2 linked regions of the Yarrowia lipolytica genome follow. The protein of the gene in region 1 interacts with the protein of each later gene in a pairwise test. Links are inferred from orthologs where the notes say so. Each region holds a gene or a part of one and is shown on either strand. Other genes may lie near its edges.

Region 1 (10,277 bases):
TTCTTGAGATCATAATCACTTCCATGCTTACAGCAGACGTGATCTTGCGGTTTTATGTCTATTTGCCGAACTGGCGCATATTTTTCCTTAATATTGCCAACGTGGTGGATTGTGCTCTTGGAGTCATGTGTATTGTCATCCTGATTCCCCCAATTCACAACAAGCCCGTGCTATATGGTTGGCTGACGATTTTCCAAATTTTGCGGATTTACAGAGTCGTGATGTTCTTCAAATTCACACGGCTCCTGTGGAGAAGAGTCGTGGGAAACTACAGAACTATGTTTTACATGAGTTGCTTCTTCTTTCTCTTGACATTCCTCTGTTCTGTCATGTCAACTCGACTACTGCGTGGTGTAATTCCGCAAGAAGACGATAGCGGCGAGTCGATCGAGTTTTCATTTTACAACCTACAGAATACCTTTCTGGGAATGTATGCTCTCTCAACTACTGAGAATTGGACAGATATGCTGTACAATGGCCAGCAGTTCGCAACAAACACCTTCTCAGCTCTTTGCATTGCTGCTTTTTTCATCGGCTGGTTCATCTTTTCCAATAATGTTGTCATGAACCTTTTCATTGCTCTGATTACAGAAAATCTTGACGTGTCTGAAGAAACCAAGCGCATTGAACAGATCAAGGGCTTCGTCCGGAAGTACACAGACCAGATCAGCAACAACGGCGGATCCCTGCCGACGATGCAACTATTGATGCAAAAAGTGAAACATCTCGGCAAGAACCGGGAGATCAACCAAACAGACGGCTCACACGTGTTTGATATGTTGATGCAACGTCACGTTGTGCAAGATTTTCTAGAAGACGAGGTGAATGAGGCGGAGGAGATGCCGGCTGAACAACGATCGCGGCCATCGCGAATCAAGCGCATGCTGAAACAAGCACATGTCAAGTCATTGATGTTTTGGCGCAAAAAGGAACCCACTGAAAATCCTTTCTTAGATCCCCCGCAAGGTGGAGATTTTTTCTCCAGAAAGAAGAGCCTAAATCCAATAAATTTGGCAAAGGATTTCCTGGATGATTATCAGCAGCGTTTGAAGACTCAGGAGGAATTTTTGGCTGAGCATCCGGATTTCAACGTGGTGCTATACTGCCTGCCTCCTCATAACCCTATTCGTCGATTTTGCCAAAGGATTGTAATGCCATCACATGGAACTAGGCATGATGGTGTTATTCCCAAGCAGTGGGTGTGGTACACATTTACGTTCATTATGTTTCTTGCTACTGTTGCCCTAGTTGTGTTGGCATGTGTTGCTACTCCGTTGTACCAGAAGGAGAATGGAGGTGGTGGGGTGTGGTCTTGGATCACCTGGTCCGATTTGGGGTTTCTGATTCTTTTCAGCATCGAAGCCATTATCAAGATTTTGGCTGATGGATTCTACTTCACACCCAATGCCTACTTGAGATCGTCGTGGGGTGTTATTGACTTCATAGTGCTGATATCTCTGTGGATAAACATGATTGCCATCTTTGCTGGAAATGGTTACGTCTCTCGAGCTGTTCGTGCTTTCAAAGCTTTGCGAGCTTTGCGATTGCTCAATATTTCGAATGCAGCTAAGGAAACATTCGAGAACATCGTTATCGTGGGCATCAGGAAGATCTTCGGCGCGGCCATGATTTCCATGTGTCTGCTCTACCCTTTCAGTGTGTGGGGCTTGCAAATCTTTAAAGGGCGCTTCTACAGCTGCAACGACGAAAATACCGAATTTCTTGCCAATTGTATCAACGAATTTGCATCCTCGCCGTCAAACTGGAATGTCCTGGCGCCCCGCTCTGTTGTGAAGCCATACTATGACTTTGACAATTTCGGTCATTCCTTTCTAATTCTGTTCGAAATCATTTCCCTCGAAGGTTGGACGGATGTTCTCAAGACTACCATGAGTATTCAAGGGCCTGGGATGAATTTGGAGTGGGCCGCTTCAGTGAACAACTCGGCCTTTCTTGTCCTGTACAATTTCATTTCCACAGTTTTCATTCTCACGTTGTTCATTGCTGTCATCATTAAGAATTATTCGAGAACCACGGGTACGGCATTTCTTACCCAAGAGCAACGGGCTTGGGCAGAGGCTGAAAAAATCCTGAAGCTGGTAAAACCGTCCATTGTACCGGTGTACGTGCGTGAGGGAACATGGCGTGAATACTGCTACAGAGTAGTGACGAATCGAAAGGGCAAGTGGAATAAGTTTCTTGCGGGTCTGTTGTTTATCCACCTCATTATTTTGTGCTTAGAATGGTATCCTCAATACCTATATGCCGAAGACATTCGAAATGGGCTCTTTCTACCCATCCTCATTATCCTGGATCTCAACGAGATTATGAGGTTTTATGCTTTTGGTTACAAGGGTTTCATGTCCAGAAAATGGGATCTCTACACAGTACTTGTTGTGACGGGTGCATTAGTGACCACCATCTTCTCTTTTGCTTCTTTCGTTTCCAACACTTACTACAACTTCCAGAAGTTGTGCCAAGTCGGTATTCTGCTACTTTTCATTCCACGATCAGAGCGACTCGACCAGCTGTTCAAAACCACGTCAGCTTCTTTTGCATCCATTTTGAACCTCATGGCTACGTGGATCGTCTTATTTGTGGTATATGCTATTGCGTTCAATCAGATTTTTGGTCTCACTCGAGTTGGCCCTAATGGAACAGGAAACATCAACTTCAGAACAGTCCCCAAGGCCCTGATTCTCTTATTCCGGATGAGTTGTGGTGAAGGGTGGAACCAAATCATGTCTGATTATCTTTTGGAGCCGCCGTACTGTATCAACGGTGCTGGTTTCAACGAGACTGATTGTGGATCCCGTCCCTACGCGTATCTGCTCTTCATTTCTTGGAACATTCTCTCCATGTACATCTTCGTCAATATGTTTGTTTCTTTGATTTACGAAAATTTTTCGTATGTCTACCAGCAGACTGGCCCACTCAGTCGAGCCATCAAGCGGGAAGAGCTGCGGAAGTACAAGAAGGCCTGGAGAGAATTTGATCCCACCGGAACTGGATACATTAGGCCAGATGAGCTCCACAGATTTCTCCGACGAATTGAAGGCACCTTCTCGATGTGCATTTATGAAGGCGATTGGTCTATCAAAGAGCTGATTTCAGACCACAACATTAGAGTCAATGACCATGACCCTTATGATGTCGACCTTCCTGCGCTGAACAAGGCCGTTCGAACCATCCCAGTCGGAGACATGATCAACAGACGCCGGGCCTTTGACACACTTTGTGAGCAAGTGTTACTTGAGAGAAACCCAGACAAGGGTATATCTTTTTCTCAAGTACTGCTGGCAATTCCCATCTATAAGATGGTTGATGAAAACAAGTGCTTCATGCTAGATGCCTATCTCAAGCGACGAATCATGCTTCAACAAGTGGAAGAGAACCTTCTGAAGGCAAAACTACGAGGCTTCATGGATATGGTGCAACTCAGAAGAGAGTTTCACGAACGACGAGACGATATGGGTCCTATGTCAGCTTCGAGAGATCCATTTGAGAGCACAGGAGTGACTAGAATACCTTCGGGCTCGCGAAAGAACATTGTGCCTCAAATTTTCATCACTACTGATGGCGACAGCAAAGAAGACTTTACCAGCGAGGAGCCATCGTTGCTTCCTAGGAAAACGGCGGACTTCGATGTGGAAGAGGTACCTACAACACCTGATGGTGTTCCAGTTCCAGCAGACTACTTCCTGTCTACAGACCCAATGACACCGAACCCGAATGCTGGCAGCTCTGGCCGTTTCTCATGGACTTCGGAACGGTCAAACATTGACAGGAACTCTATGTGGGACCGGCGCGTATCAGGCGACAGTGACAATTTCAAGGACCAAGACTCCTCTGATTTGAACCTCATCCACAGACAGGAAGACCAGCTCATCGACTCGTTTGAGAACTCCGTTTGGGGTGGAGCTCTGTCCAAACGAGCTAGCCGATACCAACGTGCAGAGCAAGATGACGAGAAGGATGAAACACTTGACGACGATAGCCACGACTACATCTAACCATGGATATACTTACATAATTTATAGAAATGTTGAAATTAATCGAAACATATACACCGTAGTAAACGTGCTTTGTATTTCGTCTATGTACATGGCAGTATAAATTAATAGCATGCCTATTTTTTCTTCTTTCCACCGGCCGCCTTCTTCTCGGTGAGCTTCTTAGGGGCTCCCTTTCCTCGTTTCTTTCGCCTGTTGTTAATAATTGAACCACGATTGTGCGTGTACCTAGTAGCCTTTATACAATAGGATCTAATACTCACTGAACAACGTTGGTAAGTCGGTACCACTCAGTGTAGTCTGCGAAACCAAACTGGGGCATGGCCTCTCGAAGGCTCTTCATGCTGAAGTCGCTTGTGGGGTAGTAGCTCTTGATCTGCTCGCCAATCAGCGGTGCCCGGAGGGCCTTAGTGCCACGTCGAAGGTTCTCGGGGTTGTAAGACCGATTAAAAACCTGGGCAGTCAATTTTGCCAACGAGGTAAGTCGCTCTTTGCTGGGCCGGATGGGGTTCATCGTGGTGCGAGTTGTGTTGTGGTGATTTGGGACTGAAAAGCTAACATCTCATTGAAACCTTAAACACACGTGACCCGATAAGCTCATTTGAAAACACAGCCATCAGAATTACTGTATGAAGGTATGTGATACGAGTATCGTAAATAATATCCTGTTAATTAAATATATGGGTGGGCAAATGTAAATGCCCATGTAGCTTGTATGAAACTTAGGATTGAGCTACATCAGGAGCGGCAGCGGTGTCAAGCTCGTCTTCGACCTTGATGTCATCCTCATTTCCAACGTAGACCGTTTTCTCAGTCTTCGTTCCTGGCTCATAATCGAAATCCAGGATTCGGAGATAAGCCTCGTTGTCTTTCTGGACAGCTGCGACGAGCTTGGATCCACTAAACCGCACTTGCCAGATTGACTCACACTCCGTGAACAAATCTTTCACAAGTTTGCCAGTACGAATATCCCAGAGCTTCAAGCATTTTGCGGAACCACTGACAACTTTGTATTCGTCGTGCTGAAAGCAAGAAATTGCCTCCGCGTGTCCCTCCAGCTTATGTATGTTGCCTCCAGTCTCGGGGTCCCAAACTCGAAGGGTCCAGTCAACTGCAGCCGACACGAGCCAAGATCGGTTGAGGTCAAGGAGACCAACAAGCGAGGTGTGACCTTCCAAAGTGTACAGGCAGGATCCTGACTCAAGGCACCAGACCCTCACATTCCAGTCAAGCGACCCAGAGATGCATCGATTACGCTGATGATCAAGAACAGCAGCATATACTCGCTTGTGATGTCCAGAAAGTACAAACTTGCACTTTCCAGTGTTGATAGACCAGACACGCACAGTAGTGTCATAAGATCCAGAGACAAGAGTGTCACCGTAGCCATTAACGGCGCGAACAGAATTAGAGTGGCCCTGGAGTGACTTCATGAAGTAGGGATCCTGAGTGGACTGATCCAGCCATTCAGGCTCGCCTGGAAGAGGAAGCTTCCAGACTCTCAGTGTCTTGTCCCGAGATCCAGTAACAATGAGAGGTCGAGAAGGATACATCTCATCGGGGTCGGTGCTCTCCGTTCGTGCAGTAGCACACATTGCATGGCTCATTGGCACAGGAGTCAGGATGCTTAGTGACCGCACCGTAGAGACGTGACCTGTAAAAATGTGGGTGCATCGTGCTTCTTTGATGTTCCAAATTCTAACAGTTCTGTCAATACTTCCACTGACCAATGTATCACCAACGTACTGCAGAGCCCACACTCCTCCAGTGTGACCTTCGAGTCGACTTCGTTGACGGCCAGTTTTAGTGTCGTAGACGTTGATCCAAGGGTCTTCGCTGGCAGTGACAATGATGTCATCATCAAACTGGAGACAAGTAATGACTGCCTCCCGTCCAGTTCGGATGCATGTGGAGTCAGGTGTGGAGTTGGGATCCATCCAGTTGCGACGAATAAGATGTCTTCGACGGTATATGCTCTTGTACAGGTTGATCTTGCTGTACAGAGGAGTGGATTCGACAATGCTAGGATCGGTGTCCTCGGACCCCCACGTGGTATAGTCCCACTTTTGCTCGGTAGCTCTGGCAACGTCAGCATCGGTAACGGGCGCCTGGTGGCTCTCTGAAAGACCCTTCCAGATTGCGCCCAAGCTTTCAACAATGGAGTTCCAGCTTTTTGAAACCTGTGATGCGGCACAAAGAGTCTTGTAGTCGAGGTGGGACAAAACCTTTGTGGCGAGTTCCAAAGGAAAGATGGACAGCAAATCGCAGCGCAAGGCAGGGACGACAATATCGGCTACCATCGACAGGTTCCGTCTGTTGCATCGACGTAGAAGCTGGAACATCACGTAGTTCTTGACAGGGGCTGGTAGATCGTCGAAGTTGTCGAGGAGCTGAGGGATTTCGTCCCGTAGGTTGGCATGAGGAATGGTAAGATGCTGTTGCTCTTCTTCTTCTTCTCGAGCCGGGGGAGGCGAAGGCATGGCGACGTTTGATGCGGATGTTTGCTGCTCGTCGGTCTGCTCAATTTCCAAGTCATTTCGGGGTACCTTCTTCTGGCGTGGCAGGCTGCAAGACGCCTGGCGCTTTTTGCTGAGTTCCGTAGCACGGGATGTTGCGTTATCAGAGGCAGCTCCAAGAGTTCCATTCTCGAGACTGGCAGAGGTGGACGTCTGTTCACCCCCAAGTTCGACGAACTGGAGCTCGTTGCCATTGACGTCAAAGTGAAACTGCGAGAGATAGTCTGGAGTATCTGTACCCCGCAGCGGATAGTTAGCGTTGCTAGATTTTGGGTCCTTCCTGACGATGGAGACGGTATGCATTTTTGTATCGTAGTTTGAGGCTGCTTTTGTTGTGAGTTGAGCAGAGGGTGCGGGGTGGTGGTGTATATGTCCGTGTTACCGAGAGCGAGCGTTTGCAGCGGCAACTATTGAAAGGTAAACTACCGCTTATCAGTTGGGGCTCGACGAGTAGAGAATATGCTGTGGTGGTGGCGCGAAGTGGGTGTCGTGTATCAGTTGACTGCAGTGGTCTTCCTTCAAAATGAATCACCAGGGACAACAGGGGTTGCTCTGGGACCAGGAAAGGCTCTAGTGTCTTGAACGTGTCTCTTCTGCCAGTTTTTTTGCACGGCTTATCGTGAGTTGTCTTGTTTCGACGTTGTCGCCTGTGCCTGTTGTGTATTGTGTGTGGGTTTGGTGTGTGGTATGTTTCCAACTTCGGTTTTACCCTTTCTATTGAAGTCTCTCATGCGCCGAAGGGGTCAGACTGTTTGTTGACAAGCACTACTCACCGAAATTGGAAATCTTACACAACCGCCGAAAAGCAGAGAAAATGAAATGTTTTAAAGTCTCGTATCCTGTGAATCTTTTGGAAATGTAATATCGTATTTGTCTATTGCTCATCTGAGGAAACAACAGCCTAAATACCAGCTGTTAGCCCACCCAGATGGTGTTGCTACATCGCAAATTCCTGCACGCATGAAACTCTGTTTACGACCAACTCAAAGTATAACAGCGTTGGGCAGTCTTCCAAATGTATCTCACGTGTAGTTAGCAACGAGTAATCTTCGCTTGCGGGCATGCGACATCACAAGTATATTGATTGTAGCTAATGTATCGCACAAGTATAAGTACGAGTAGAAGCACTACAAGTAGTTCTTACTGTACTATCGTAGTATGTCCTTGTATCGTACAATAATATATCGTACTTGTACAGACATTTTTAATTCCAACCAATCGGGCTTTTGAACCGCCGACAGACCCCTCAAAAGGACAGTAAATACTTCAGAATATGGTGGCAAAATAGAAAATAAGTATCATTCAGCCAAGTTTAGGTTGCCGCATACATCTTATGAATTCATTTTATATGGCTCCGTAACATTTAATTGTACCGTGGAAGAGTGGGCGGCCATCATAATTTGATTACTCGGATTCGTGGGGAGAAAAGAGCGATCTGGTGATCTTGCATGAATTGAGGCGAACTTTACTCCCAGGCATCGTCCTTCACCACGATCCTTCAGAAAGCCATGAGTTTGATAAGATCGCTAAGAACAGTGCCCCGAATCGCACTGGCCACAAGAGTAGCCACAGGAGTGGCCTCTCTACCTCTTCGCAGACCCCTCACCACTGGCGTGCGACGTGCGACAAGAACAGTTACTTTGCCACACATCACTACACATCATGAAACGCTCCGACTATATTCTCTCCAGGCGACCGAGCTGGAATTAGAGGATTACCACATTCAAGCGGATGAATATTTGGAGTCTATCTTGATTGCTTATGAAGAATACGCTGAGGAGGTCGATTCAAATGAGCTGGATGTGGATCTAGCTCAAGGCGTGATGAGCTTGGAAATCCCTGGTGCTGGATCCTACGTTATCAACAAACAACCCCCGAACAAACAGATTTGGCTAAGTTCCCCCATTTCCGGCCCCAAGCGTTATGACTATGTCGACGGTGAATGGGTTTATCTGCGTGACGGCACCACCCTAACAGAGCTTCTGGAGACCGAAACCTCCGAAGCATTTGCTTCCACTGGGAAGAAATTTCATCTTTGAGAAAGCCTGTATATAAGTGCATAGATTTAATCACCTACCTGTAGTATATGTCGAGTTGTGTCTAACCCACAAGAAAATACAACGGCGCTATTCAATCACACTTGTATGGTACTTTTATGTTCGGGGTGACAGGTGGGGTTGTACATACTTACTGTCTACGATACTGTACCACCATAATCTTGTTGAGAGGTTGTGCAGTTCCCCGGAGCAAAGGCGCGTATTACAAATCTAAATATCATGATATCGCTCGTAGAGGCATATAATAGTGCGCGACGAGTTTATTCCTTCACCGTATTCATTGCTTGTAAGGTCGCACGTGAAGGATCAGTCATACACAGCCTCCGGTCACATTTGACACAGCCTCCTAATTACCCTGTGTGTAGTGCAGTAGTAAACTTGGCCAAAACTACCCATACCCAAATCTCAAATCCCAATAAAGTCTGACCACGAAGTGCAGCGATCGAAACGTAGCTAGCTGTAACACGGCATCTTCAGTCCAGCCCAGGCCTCAGCAACGACATGCCAAACGAGCCAACTCCCCCCAGCGTCCCCGATGGCTGGTTAGCCAAATGGGACCCCAACTACAAGACTTTTTACTATGTCGACCTCTCCAACGGAAAATCACAGTGGGACAAGCCTAGCGGCTCCGGTGGCCACAGTCCGCCATCATACGACCGGCCTCCTTCTCGGGGAAGTAGCCACAGCAACAGCAACAACAACAGACCTCACCAGGAGCAGCGTGGATATGGTGGTGGTGGTTCAGGCCCTCAAGGATACGGCGGGGGACCTGGCCCTGGTGGCTTCGGCGGTCCCCACGGTGGCGGAGGTTATGGTGGAGGACCGGGCCCCGGATATGGCGGAGGGCCGGGCCCCGGATACGGTGGCCCTGGACCTGGTTATGGCCCTGGACCTGGTTATTGGCCCCCCAGCCCATGTACCAACAACCCCCGCCTCCACCTATGTATGCCCAGCCCCCGCCTATGCAGATGCAGCAGCAGCAACCTCACAGACGAAATTGGGGAACTACCGCCATGGGTGTTGGTGGTGGTCTTCTTGGTGGTATGCTTATTGGAGACATGATGAGTGGCCACCATGATGGCGGTGACACGGTTGTGAACAACTATTATGACGACAACAGTAACAACAACGACGGCGATATGTATTCGGGAGGCGCTGATGATTATGGTGGAGGAGACGACTGGTAATATAGATAAGCTTGTTTTTTTCGATAATAATTTGGTTCTCGTAGCCCTTTTACTATGTTTTCTATTCACCCTCTTCGTCTTCTGGCTCTATGCTTCCCATCTACTGTAAGCCGAGTTGCTTACTCAGATCACACAGTTAAGGTTCGTTATCATATGAGGTGGCATTTGAGTACAGATTAGTTTTCATCGGCAGCAAGTGAGTTCCGAGTCATTGAGGGTGTCCCCGTGTCTTGACAATTGAGGTGGGGATATGTAGAGAGCAGCCTACGATCCTGGTGATGTATGTGCGATTTCAATTTGGGGACTTCTATCATGTGCAGCGTCCGACATCCTGTTCGAGTCTTACACCTGCGTCGCAGCAGAGTGCGGACTTGGGATGAATGAATTTGGACATGAGCCGACAAAAGTTAACTTCACCACCTTACGCATCTTCTCTCAGTCCTCCAAACAGACATGGCCCGACACGCACTCAGTAAGGCAGAGGCCTCGTTTATTACCAAACTC
Region 2 (10,277 bases), on another chromosome or scaffold:
GGTGTCATGTCTCAACAGCCCCATGGCTCTGCATTGCATTCTTTGAGAAAGTACAGTGGGCCCAACCACGAAGCCTCCTCCGATATCAAGAAGGAAAATGGCATTGGACCACTAGAGATGCCTCCAAAACTGCAACGTGCATCTACTGCACCCTACAATCTGGGCTCTGAGGGTCGTTCTTCCGCCTCAGACGTCCCTCTTTTTACCCAAACGTCGTCTCAAACGTCAGATACCTCCCATGCTGTTGGTTCGGTGGGCACGATCGATTCATTCCACTCGGCCGAATCGAGTTTGGCACCATTGGATGCCGTAGGCGAGACAAACATGTCTGATGCTGATAGCTTGTCCGAGGAGTTTGATTCAGATCTGGACGCAGACAATGAGCCTACACTCCGTGGCTATGACGTTTCGAAGAAAGACCACAAGGGCAAATCCATCTTGATGGCTCCCAATCGCGCAGATGTGCTCAAGGGAAAGGGGTTCCAGCAAGCTCCTGCGCCCTCATCTTTAACTTCTGCTTCCAAGGTGAAGTTTTCTGGTCCCAGTGGTCTCACACCCGGTCAAAAGCTGCGCTGGAAAGAAGAACAGAAGCTACCCGAGCTTCAGGAACAGGATAGTCTACCTGAGAACGTACAGTTGATGGACGGATCTGACGACTTTGGAAACAACGGCCAAATCTCCGATGCCACTGAAAAGGTGATTGATGATTCAAAGGTAGCTGAAGCTCCAGAGGGACCTGAAGGTCAAGAGCCTGATGAGGTCAAAGAAGACGGAGATCCTACTGTTCCACATACCGGTCTTCGTCATGGTAACGAACCGCGGGGTGCTGAAGTCATGACTCCTGCTACTATCGCCGCTGCCAATGCGGGACCTTCTCAGAGTGACTACTACCTTCAGTTTCAGGAAAACTTCATGAACCGGGCAAAGAATGTCGCTGGTAAGATGAAAGACAAGTCTTCGCGTACTCGAGACGCTACGGTCAAAAACTGGAGGTTTTTGAGAGAAAAATCCGCCGGAGAGATTGTGCGGATCGAGAAGATGTTAGTTATGGTCAAGACCAGTCCAGCTCTGCATCTACCTAAAGACTTCAACGAGACAGAAACAGGGGACACTCGAATGTTGGAACGATGGAGAGAGTACATTGTTGTTGCTCGAAGCACAGGTGACCCCTTGAACCCGATCTCGCTGCAATTCTATTCGTCCCGATCCATCAAGGCTGTTGAGAAGGTGACCAAGGGTAAGACTGGCGCCAAAATGTTTCTGACACTTGGCAAGCATGTCAATGTGTCGCTGTATTCATCTCTGGATAAGACCATCGCCCTGTGGTACACCAGCAAGCGTGAGACTGTCATCTACATTCTGCGGGCTCGCTCAGCCTACTCGTCCATTCGGTGGTTTGCATTCTTCTCCGAAATTCTGGGTGCCCGACGAGACAAGGACATGCATGTGCGAGTGCCTGATCTGGCTGTGGTTGTAACTGTTCGGGTCTCTTGGCGCAAGTTCCGACTTATCGACGAGTACATTTCTAGAAATCTTATGGCTGCCAAAAGAAAGTCAGGCCGAGGTGCTGTTCTCACCGCCAGAGCTCACCAATACATTACTGAGAAGGCGCTCAAGGCTCTGGCTGAAAACCCACGATTTAAAAGCACCATTGATGACTGGGTGAATAATAAGCGAGTCGGTCTTGGATGGCGTCGATACGACCGATTAGAGTGGGTCCAGGGCTTTGGAGAGCAGGAGTTGCATGGTTCCTGGGCCCTCAACCGAACGCACGACTTGGAGTTGCGTGTCAAAGAACATTACGGTGACAAAATCACAATCAAGGGAGAGGAGTTGGTGGAGCCCACCCCCATTGAGGGTCATCTGGTGCGTCTCAAGTCTTGGAATGGACAGCTAGGAGGCGCCTTCTCCTCCAAAAAGAACTCGTTCGGTAAGCTTCTTTACAAGAACCTGTACTTTTCCACCCATGACTACTTTCTTTTCTTTGCCAAGCCCGGCAATGCCATTCTTCCTCTTCCCGACGAAGATCTCAAATGCCAGGAAGCCTACAATGAGGAACAGCGGGAGTGGGTGTACGAGATTGCCCCGTTCAAGTCTGAGGAGGGCACCGGTGAGATGAAGGGCACTCCTATCATCAAGTGGCTCAAACCAGGTATCACCGAGTCGGAGTTTCAAAAGAAGGATTCCATTGCTCTGCACAACATGCAGAGACGGGCCGCTCAGATAATCAAGGCTGATGGGTTCATCAACCTCCTTGAAGTTGTCCAAGTTCGTGCTACCAAACGCCAGGAGGACATCGACGACAGTATTGGTAACGAAGACAACAATGTGGACTTTGACGGCTCTCGAATTCTCCATGGAAGCACGTCTCAGGGCCTGGGAGGAGAAGACGGCGAGGTTGATTCTTTCGACGAACACAAGACGTTTGAGTTGGTGATGGAAAACGGTCTTATCGTGCGTCTACAGGCCTACAACTCGCACTGTCGAAACTTGTGGGTCAACAAGCTCAGGGATCTCATTGCCTATTGGAAAGTGGTGGCCCAAAACCAGCTGCAAGTATCTGCCGACTTCCGAACAAACAACATGAAACGTCTCTACATTGACGATAAGTTAGATGCAGCTATTGGAGAGTCGTCTCCCAAGTGGGAAACCGCCCGTGCTTCAGCCTCTACTACGCTGTACAATGTTTCAGGTATCTCGTGGTCCCGTTCAATCATCATGAAGGGTATGCTGTACCATAAGACACGGACCCATGGCTCATTCAAGTTGTACTACGCGGTCCTGTGCCATGGACATCTCATTCTCTATGACGTTTACAGACGAACGCTCGGAGGTATCCCTATGGACAAGGTGGACTACGAGAGATTCAGAGACATCCCTCTCAAGGAGGCCTACGTGTACTCCGGCAACATTGCGGAGTCAGATATTCTGACCCGCGACGAAATGAGCGATCTCAGCTCGGACAAGGTGGTACCTCGCATGTACAAGGACGGGTGGAAGTCTGCCGAGAGTGAGACTCTGCGATGCATCATTTTGTGGTTCCCTCGAAAGAAGGCCGTGACTACAAATTCTGCCACCAAGCTGCGAACCGTCAATCGACTGGGTGTCAGTGGCCATCGGTACATTTTTGTGGCCCGTTCTCGACAGGAGAAGGAACAGTGGGTTATGGCACTGTCGCATGAAATCGAAAAGCTGGTGGAACCGGATTTTGCTGATATCAACATTGTTAATTAGGCCACTAGCATTATATTACTAATACTTTGATTATACAGCCGGCTTAGATACCGATTTGTATGTATCGGCACTCATGTAGAGAAGACTTTGTACCTGATCTTCTACCGTTTTTCACCTGTTTTACGCTTGTATTAAACTTAAAACATTTCTTACAGTCATCTATTGGATATTACTTGTACTTGAATGACTTGACACCACCACAGAACAGATGCTAACATTTACCATGGTGCCACCATACAACGCAATACCAGAAACATTATCGTGCACAATGCCGTGCAACACGTTTATCAAAAACTGTGCCAAACGCAGAAACAGTTTATGCAGCGTATTCGTACTTGTCCTGCTCGATTCGGGTCAGATACTCTCTCTCAATCAGATCGTCAATCACCTTTTTGATCTCGCCAATTTTGGGGTGGAACCGCTTCTTGGACTGCACAATGGTTTCCTGAACCAGCGCAGTATGCTTGAGAGTCTTTCGAGCCTTCATGACACGAACAATCGTGGCTTGCAAGAACCACTTTCGGTCCTCCTCGATTGCCTTCTTTGTCTCCTCAGCCTCAGCCTTAGCCTCCGTCTTGATGACTCCGTTGATGTTGATTCGGATCTTCTTGGACTTGAAGTCCTGGTTGAAGACGATTCGCGTCTCAGGCGTGAGCTCCACGTCCTTGGGGTCGCCAGACACACCCTCAACCAACAGAAACTTGGACTTGAGGATCAAGTGCAGAGAACCATGCAGGTATGTGTTGCTGAGACCGGTGATCTCCTGCAGATCGGCCACAGACAGAACATCGGCGTCGTTGTAGGCCAGAAGAATGGCAATCTGGTAGATGGAGGCTGTTACCGAATAGCCAATCTTGGAGCCCTTGGTGTGGATCTTGACATCGCCCTTGGTGAAGTTCCACAGCCACTTGAGCTTTCGGCCCTGGTGCTTTGCCTGATAGTACTGGGTGAACGCCTCGTACGTCTTGGTGAGGTCATTGGGCAGTCGGAAGCCGTCCTTGACGGAGGGCAGTGGCCAGCATCCCTCGGCAATGATGGTTGGCGAGAAGTCGACGAGATTGGCCTCTCCGCCTGAGGCAGCCGCGTCCTGTCGCTTCTGTTGTACTCGCTCCTTGAACTCCTCCTGCAGCTCGCCTGATACGGAAATGTCCTGGAACATTTTGTTGAGCTTGCCCGTGTACTCCATACCGCACTCGTTTTTGAGCTTGTTGACCATGGACCGCTCGGCATCGTCGGATGCAGACGAGTTGTAGACAAGACGTCGGGCCAGGTTACGAGTGTAATGCTTCTGGAAGGCGTCCTTTTCTTCCAGGAACCGGAAAATGACAATGGCGTTCTCGAGCTTCGCCTCGAGATCGAAGTCCTCGGTGGTCTTGGTGGTCTTCTTAAGTAGCGTGTTGCAGTAGGAAGCCAGCAGCTCTGGGGTTTTGGAGTCGCGGGACTTGTTGCTAGGCGAATCTGGAGTGGCAATAGCGTTCTTGTTGATGAAGGCCAAACATGCAGCGTCCAGAACCTTGTGCAACGATGTGTGATTGCTGAAGGCCACCTCCACCAGATGCACGTAGCGCTCGTAGACACCAATGAGTGTGTCGACGTAAGTCGAAGCGTCGACGGTGCCAGTGAGGTCCTTGGCCAGCTGTTTGACAGCATTCTCTCCTTCCTGTTTAACGTAGGACTCGAAAACGGGCAGAATAGGGTCCAAGGCGCCGTCCACCTTGCTCAGCAGTACGTGCACACGTCGAATGTCGTCCTCTCGGTAGCCCTGGAGCAGTGAGCCAAACTCGGATCGGATGACCTCTGCGTGGTCGGCGATGAGACACTCGTGGCAGGTCTCAATCACCCGCTGCTCGGAAGACGGATGCAGGTAGACGTCAACTCGGCCCTTCTCTTCCGCCAGACGCTGCTCAGCCTTGCGGTTGTAGTCGACCACAGTGTTCTCTTGGAGGAACAGGGCGGACTCCTTGGTGTAGTAGTCCTTGGTGTGCTGGATGAAAGGATGCAGGAAGGCCTGCTCGTAGACCTGCAGGTTAACCCGCTTGATGTCAAGCTGGTCCAGACCCAATGACACCAACGAGTACACGACCTTTCGGATGTCGATGGTGCCCGTAGATTCGCCGTTTCGCAGCCGGGTGAACTGCTCCAGCAGGGCATCAATGACCTTCTTCTCCAGGGGATCGAAGAAGCACTCCTTCCAGGCACACAAACACATGGTGTTGACGTCCACCACGTTCTTGCGACCGTCGTCTCTCTCTCGCTTGACCCAGTGTCGGTTCAGGTAGTTGAAAATGTGGTTGATGTACTGCGCACCCACCGTGTACTTGTCCCAGCACTTGATGTAGTACAGCAGCAGGTTGCCACCGCTCATGGGCTGGGCCTCAGCCTCCAGCGAGCTGAGATGCGATTCCAGAAAGCCCTTGAGCTTGTAGTACAGGTCTGCGCCAATCAGCTGGGCGCCCCGCGTGCTTGATCCGACTCCTCCTCTGCTGGCCAGACTCACGCTTCGGTTGCTGTCTCGCGAAACGCAGTAGTTGTGGATCGCCGAGTACAGGTTCATGTACATCTGCGATGACAGCCCTGCGCCGTGTGCCAGGTCATCCCGGAGCACCTGGCCCACGCCGTCCTCAATGTACTTCCAGGTGGCGTCGATATCATCGGCGCGGGGAAGTGGTGGTGTGTTTACCATGGTGTTTTTTCTCTGCGGTTGTCGTGGCGTCTTTTTGCAAAAAGCTGTACCTTGTGTGTCTTGTTTTCACTCGTTGCGTCCACTGCCGTGTCACCTGATGCTCGATTCGAAATAGGTGATTGTTTCTAGGCGTAATTGCCAGGTGTAACGGGAGACAGATGGATGGTGAGAGAAGGTGTCTAAGTGTGGTGCGTTAGAGCATATAGCCTTCTGCTTGATGTGTGGGTCTATCTATGTGTGTGACCCAATACCCTAATAAGCTTCCTGTTCTGGGGCTTACTCAGCTGTTAGGACACGCCACTGTAAACAGCTACAGTACTTGTAGCTACCATATACCAACCCATCTACAGTATATATAACGATATTTGTAGCTAAACAAGATCAGATGAAGCATTGACAGACAGAAAAGACGACCAAAACCGGTCCATGGAAAATCCACTCCACCCAAGACTACAAAAACCCCTTTCAATTGCCCGGCCTGTTCTTGTACTTGTATGTACTTGTACATACTTGTATTACACACAATTAAAGGGGTGTGAAGGTACTCTTAGTAAGCAGAGGTCGAAGCTCGTACAGGGGAACGTACCAACATGTATTTACTGTACGTGTTGTACTTAGCATACAAGTACACCTGTGCTCGTATAGTAGTGAATGTCTATCTAAAAGGACTAGCTAGCTACTACTACCGGTACTGTAATGGTATGTGCTGTACTGGTACATGAAGTACCTGCAGAACACTCTCTATTATCTGTATCTGTATTAGTGGAATGCTGGTTAAATGGGAAAGTGTATATGCCATGTCTTGTGATGTGCCGAGAGCTGTGTCTAGTCTAGTTCTGCTTGTCTCCAGCAACACGCTCTACCAGACGGAAGATACTAATGCTAAAAGTGGAGACCCACGAAAAGAGAATCATGAGCAGAAACGCAACCAGACCCTTCTGCCGTGAACACATGGCGTAGTTGTAGGGCATAGGGTCCGGGTCACTGAGATCGTGGTCGGTACGACAGACCCACCGTTTGTCGCACATGGTGTTAAATGCAAGAGCCGTATTTGCGGATGAGAAAATAATAAATAAGAGATCCAACATGATGAGTCGGATCTTGGAGCCGGCATCTCGAAGACCCAGAGGCTTGCCCGAGTACTCGTCGTACGTAATGTACACAATGTACACCAGTGCAATGGACTGCACCACAATGGCCATAATCGTCGACGGCTGCTGGGGAATGGATATCGGCGTGTTATTCTTCGAATGCACAAAGACAGATGCAGATAGAGACAGAGCCACGCATGACAGAGAGAACATGATGGTTCGGAACGTCAGAGGCACGTAGGGGTCGTTGAGCAAGATGACGTAGAACTTTGGTTTCCACGATTGCCGCGACTTCTCGGACACAAACTCCCGGAAGTTGAGATCCGCGCCTCGTTTGTATTTGTCGTCGTCCTCAATGTTTCGGAACAAGCTGATGAAGCCCTTGAGCTTTCGTTTCAGGAACCACGACGTGGATCCCAATTGGCCTTGGTCGTCGCCGCCGTACTTTGACTCAAAGTCGTACTGGCCCTCCAGCTCCGACACATCCACAATCTCTTCATTGCCCAGAACGTCTCGTCGAATGACCTTGTTAGCAAAAGTGCCCCATTCATAATGGGGGTTGGTTTCCACGTATCTGTTTTTGGACTCGCCCTGCACGTACTTGAGTCGGTGGTGGCGGAAAATGTGGGTATGCAGTTTTAGCGGGGCCACCAGCACTCCCTGCAGGGGCCGTAGAGCTGTGGTTTGTGGTGAAGCAAAGTTGAAAGAGGAAGTGGGCAGACGCCGTCTCCAATTCAGAGTGGGTGCCGCACCCTCACCGTTGTCCACGTCGGAAATGGCCTTGTCCGAGTCTCCCTCGGCAATCTCCGTGATACGGTCACTGTCGTTTTGGAAGGAGTTGGAGTTGTTGACCTGCGGTGAGAGTTCCTGGTCGCCAATATCTTCGATGAGCCACACCGGGATGGTACTTGCCACATGTTTGTAGTTGGTTTCGTACTGTTGCGACCTCGAAGACGACGACGTGTTTCTTCGAGACGATACTCCGGTGGTGCCCCCTGAAATCGCTCTGGAGCGAGGCTTGGAGGGCGGCGACGAGTAGGTTGGAAACGGGATCTCACCGCTAGACGATGCGCCCATGGGTCCCGACGGCATGTGTGACGTTGGGTGGGTTTGCGTGTCCGTGTATGTTAATGCTGAGGTGTTGGATTGCGAGGAGGTTGGAGCAGGCGTGTAGGAAGCCGACACAGCTGCGGGAAAGTCGGGCTGGTCGTGTATTTGTTGCTCCTCGCTGGTTTTCATCTTCTTGTTGGCGGCTGGAGGGGGTGGTTCATCGACGGTATCAAAAGAACCACCTTGACTTGTCTGTTTACCACCGTCTGAAGCCTCCACCGGAATGTCATGAGGGCCGTAGTCGTGGGAGGGCATGGCCGAGAGGAGAGTGTAGCTGGGTCGGTATTGTTGTCGGGTTCCTCTCCTTTGATCAACAATGTGATGATTTTTCTTTTATCTCAAAGCAAGCCTGTCTCAAGAGGTCCGCCTCTTGTTTTTTTTTTTTTTTGTCTGTTCTTTCTGTAGGTGTTTTTAAAACAGTTAGGGTCAGATGTTTGGAACCGTTTTGGGTTGAAGCTAGACGAGATTAAGGTGTTTCTAGCCAAGCTTCCTGCGTTATGTGGAGGAGGAAGGGAGAGCTGTTCAAAAGGTGTTGCTGGGGGTGGAAGAGGGAGATCGGCGGACCCTGGGGTCTGGATACGTGTGATCAGGGCCCACAAGCCGTTTTTGCCCGCAATTTGCCCACAAAAACCGCCCGAAACGCGTCCGTTGACGTCCTTGTATGTCCTCGCTTGCCCTCCCCTACTCGTCATTTATGGTCTTCCTTGCTGGTGCATTTGACTGGTGTTGCATATACCTCTCTCCGATTGCGCCGCACTGTCGGCAGTACCTACAGTACATTGGCTACGAGTGGCTACGATACTGAGACAGTCGTCTGAGAGTCCTTATCTTCTTGTAGCTGCGGTCTCCAACTGCCTTGGTAGCCTCTCAAAGTGTTGACGATAAAATCTGGCTAGCGTTATCTGTGCTGTACATACTAAATATAGCCTGTACTGTAGATGTACAAGTATCGTAATCTCGCTACTGTACGTGTAGAAGAGCGCTAAAATGAGGGAATATACCCCAGCTTTGGTAACACCAAGTACCGGTATACGCACTCATATATACTCACACCGCCCCCACCCTGTAATCTCTGTTGCTAATGCATCCACCCTATGGGTTTGAGGTCTGACAGCAAGGTACTGTAATTGGGTTGCCAGGATGACTGACGCTGCTAAGACTACCCAACAGGATACGACTATTGGTACTGTACTGGTACAAGTACTTGGTATAGTGTAGCAACATATCATTTTGTCTCTGCTTACAAGTCCATAACCACCATTGTCGTCTCAGCTAATCTCTCAATTTGCCCATAAAAAGACCAATCTGACATCTCGCTAAAACTTCCCCTGCGTCCATAGTCTACCGCCTCGGGGTGCATTTGGAAATGAGTAACGGGACCACGAGCATGTACGAGTGCGAGTACGTACATTATCGGCTCGAGACATTTCCCACCGTCACTCGTTCTCGTGCACCTTGCAATGGCAGGTGGAACTATCAAGTGACAGCTGACAGATGACAGGCATTGTTGATCAATTGATCAGCGAGCTAAGGTGAGGTCAAACGGAGTCAAGTGAGTTCAACGTGATTGCAAACACCCGAGCTCAATAGACTTGAGTTCGAGTGCAAGGAAGTTTTTATCGAGAGGCTTGCAAAACCATCCATCACAAGTCGCTGGCATTCGCCTTTGGGGGGTATCACGTGACTTAATAGACCCGCGATTGTAGCAAAAAAGTACGGCGACTCGTACGGGCACCGGCTTGTAGACCTCTTCTCTTGGACGGTTTACACACTTGGGCGAGCCAACGCTCCTTTACCCTCACTTTACCCTCACTTTACCCTCACTTTACCCTCACTTTACCCTCACTTTACCCTCACTATACCCTCGCCGCTACTTTATCCTCGCACTTTACTTGTACCTTAATGGACCCTTTCCGTGGTGCTTATAGATGATGTCTGTAGTGGTTGCCTTGCTCGTCGAGGATGATATTTCGCAGATACTCGTGGATCACCACCATTACATAAGCGTGTCTCAGTCAAAAGATGACCCCTGAAAAACTTCACCGAATTCGTACATTCGGACATTGCTGAAAATGCGGGCGGTGCTTGTAGGACGCATCCATAGTGGCAAACGTAGGTGCGCTTAGTCTTGAAGTGAGACTCTCAGTAAAGCACCTGTG

The links.
Region 2: the proteins of YALI1_E18303g (region 1) and YALI1_D15622g interact in binary tests that used the Schizosaccharomyces pombe proteins (3 or more experiments, as listed by UniProt). The link is inferred for Yarrowia lipolytica from reciprocal best matches to the Schizosaccharomyces pombe genes pop2 and cul1.

The regions. Positions count from the first base shown.
Region 1 is NC_090774.1:1,826,910-1,837,186, reverse strand, and holds YALI1_E18303g (uncharacterized protein), read right to left. Parts: upstream 6,833-10,277; coding exon 4,736-6,832; downstream 1-4,735. Other genes in the region: YALI1_E18378g (uncharacterized protein), read left to right, coding at 1-4,013; YALI1_E18326g (uncharacterized protein), read right to left, coding at 4,130-4,205, 4,277-4,527; YALI1_E18291g (uncharacterized protein), read left to right, coding at 8,038-8,568; YALI1_E18281g (uncharacterized protein), read left to right, coding at 9,088-9,648; YALI1_E18269g (uncharacterized protein), read left to right, coding at 10,227-10,277. UniProt on the Schizosaccharomyces pombe protein: Involved in maintenance of ploidy through proteasome dependent degradation of CDK inhibitor rum1 and S-phase initiator cdc18.
Region 2 is NC_090773.1:1,557,863-1,568,139, reverse strand, and holds YALI1_D15622g (uncharacterized protein), read right to left. Parts: upstream 5,918-10,277; coding exon 3,551-5,917; downstream 1-3,550. Other genes in the region: YALI1_D15692g (uncharacterized protein), read left to right, coding at 1-3,234; YALI1_D15597g (uncharacterized protein), read right to left, coding at 6,748-8,373. UniProt on the Schizosaccharomyces pombe protein: Core component of multiple cullin-RING-based SCF (SKP1-CUL1-F-box protein) E3 ubiquitin-protein ligase complexes, which mediate the ubiquitination of target proteins.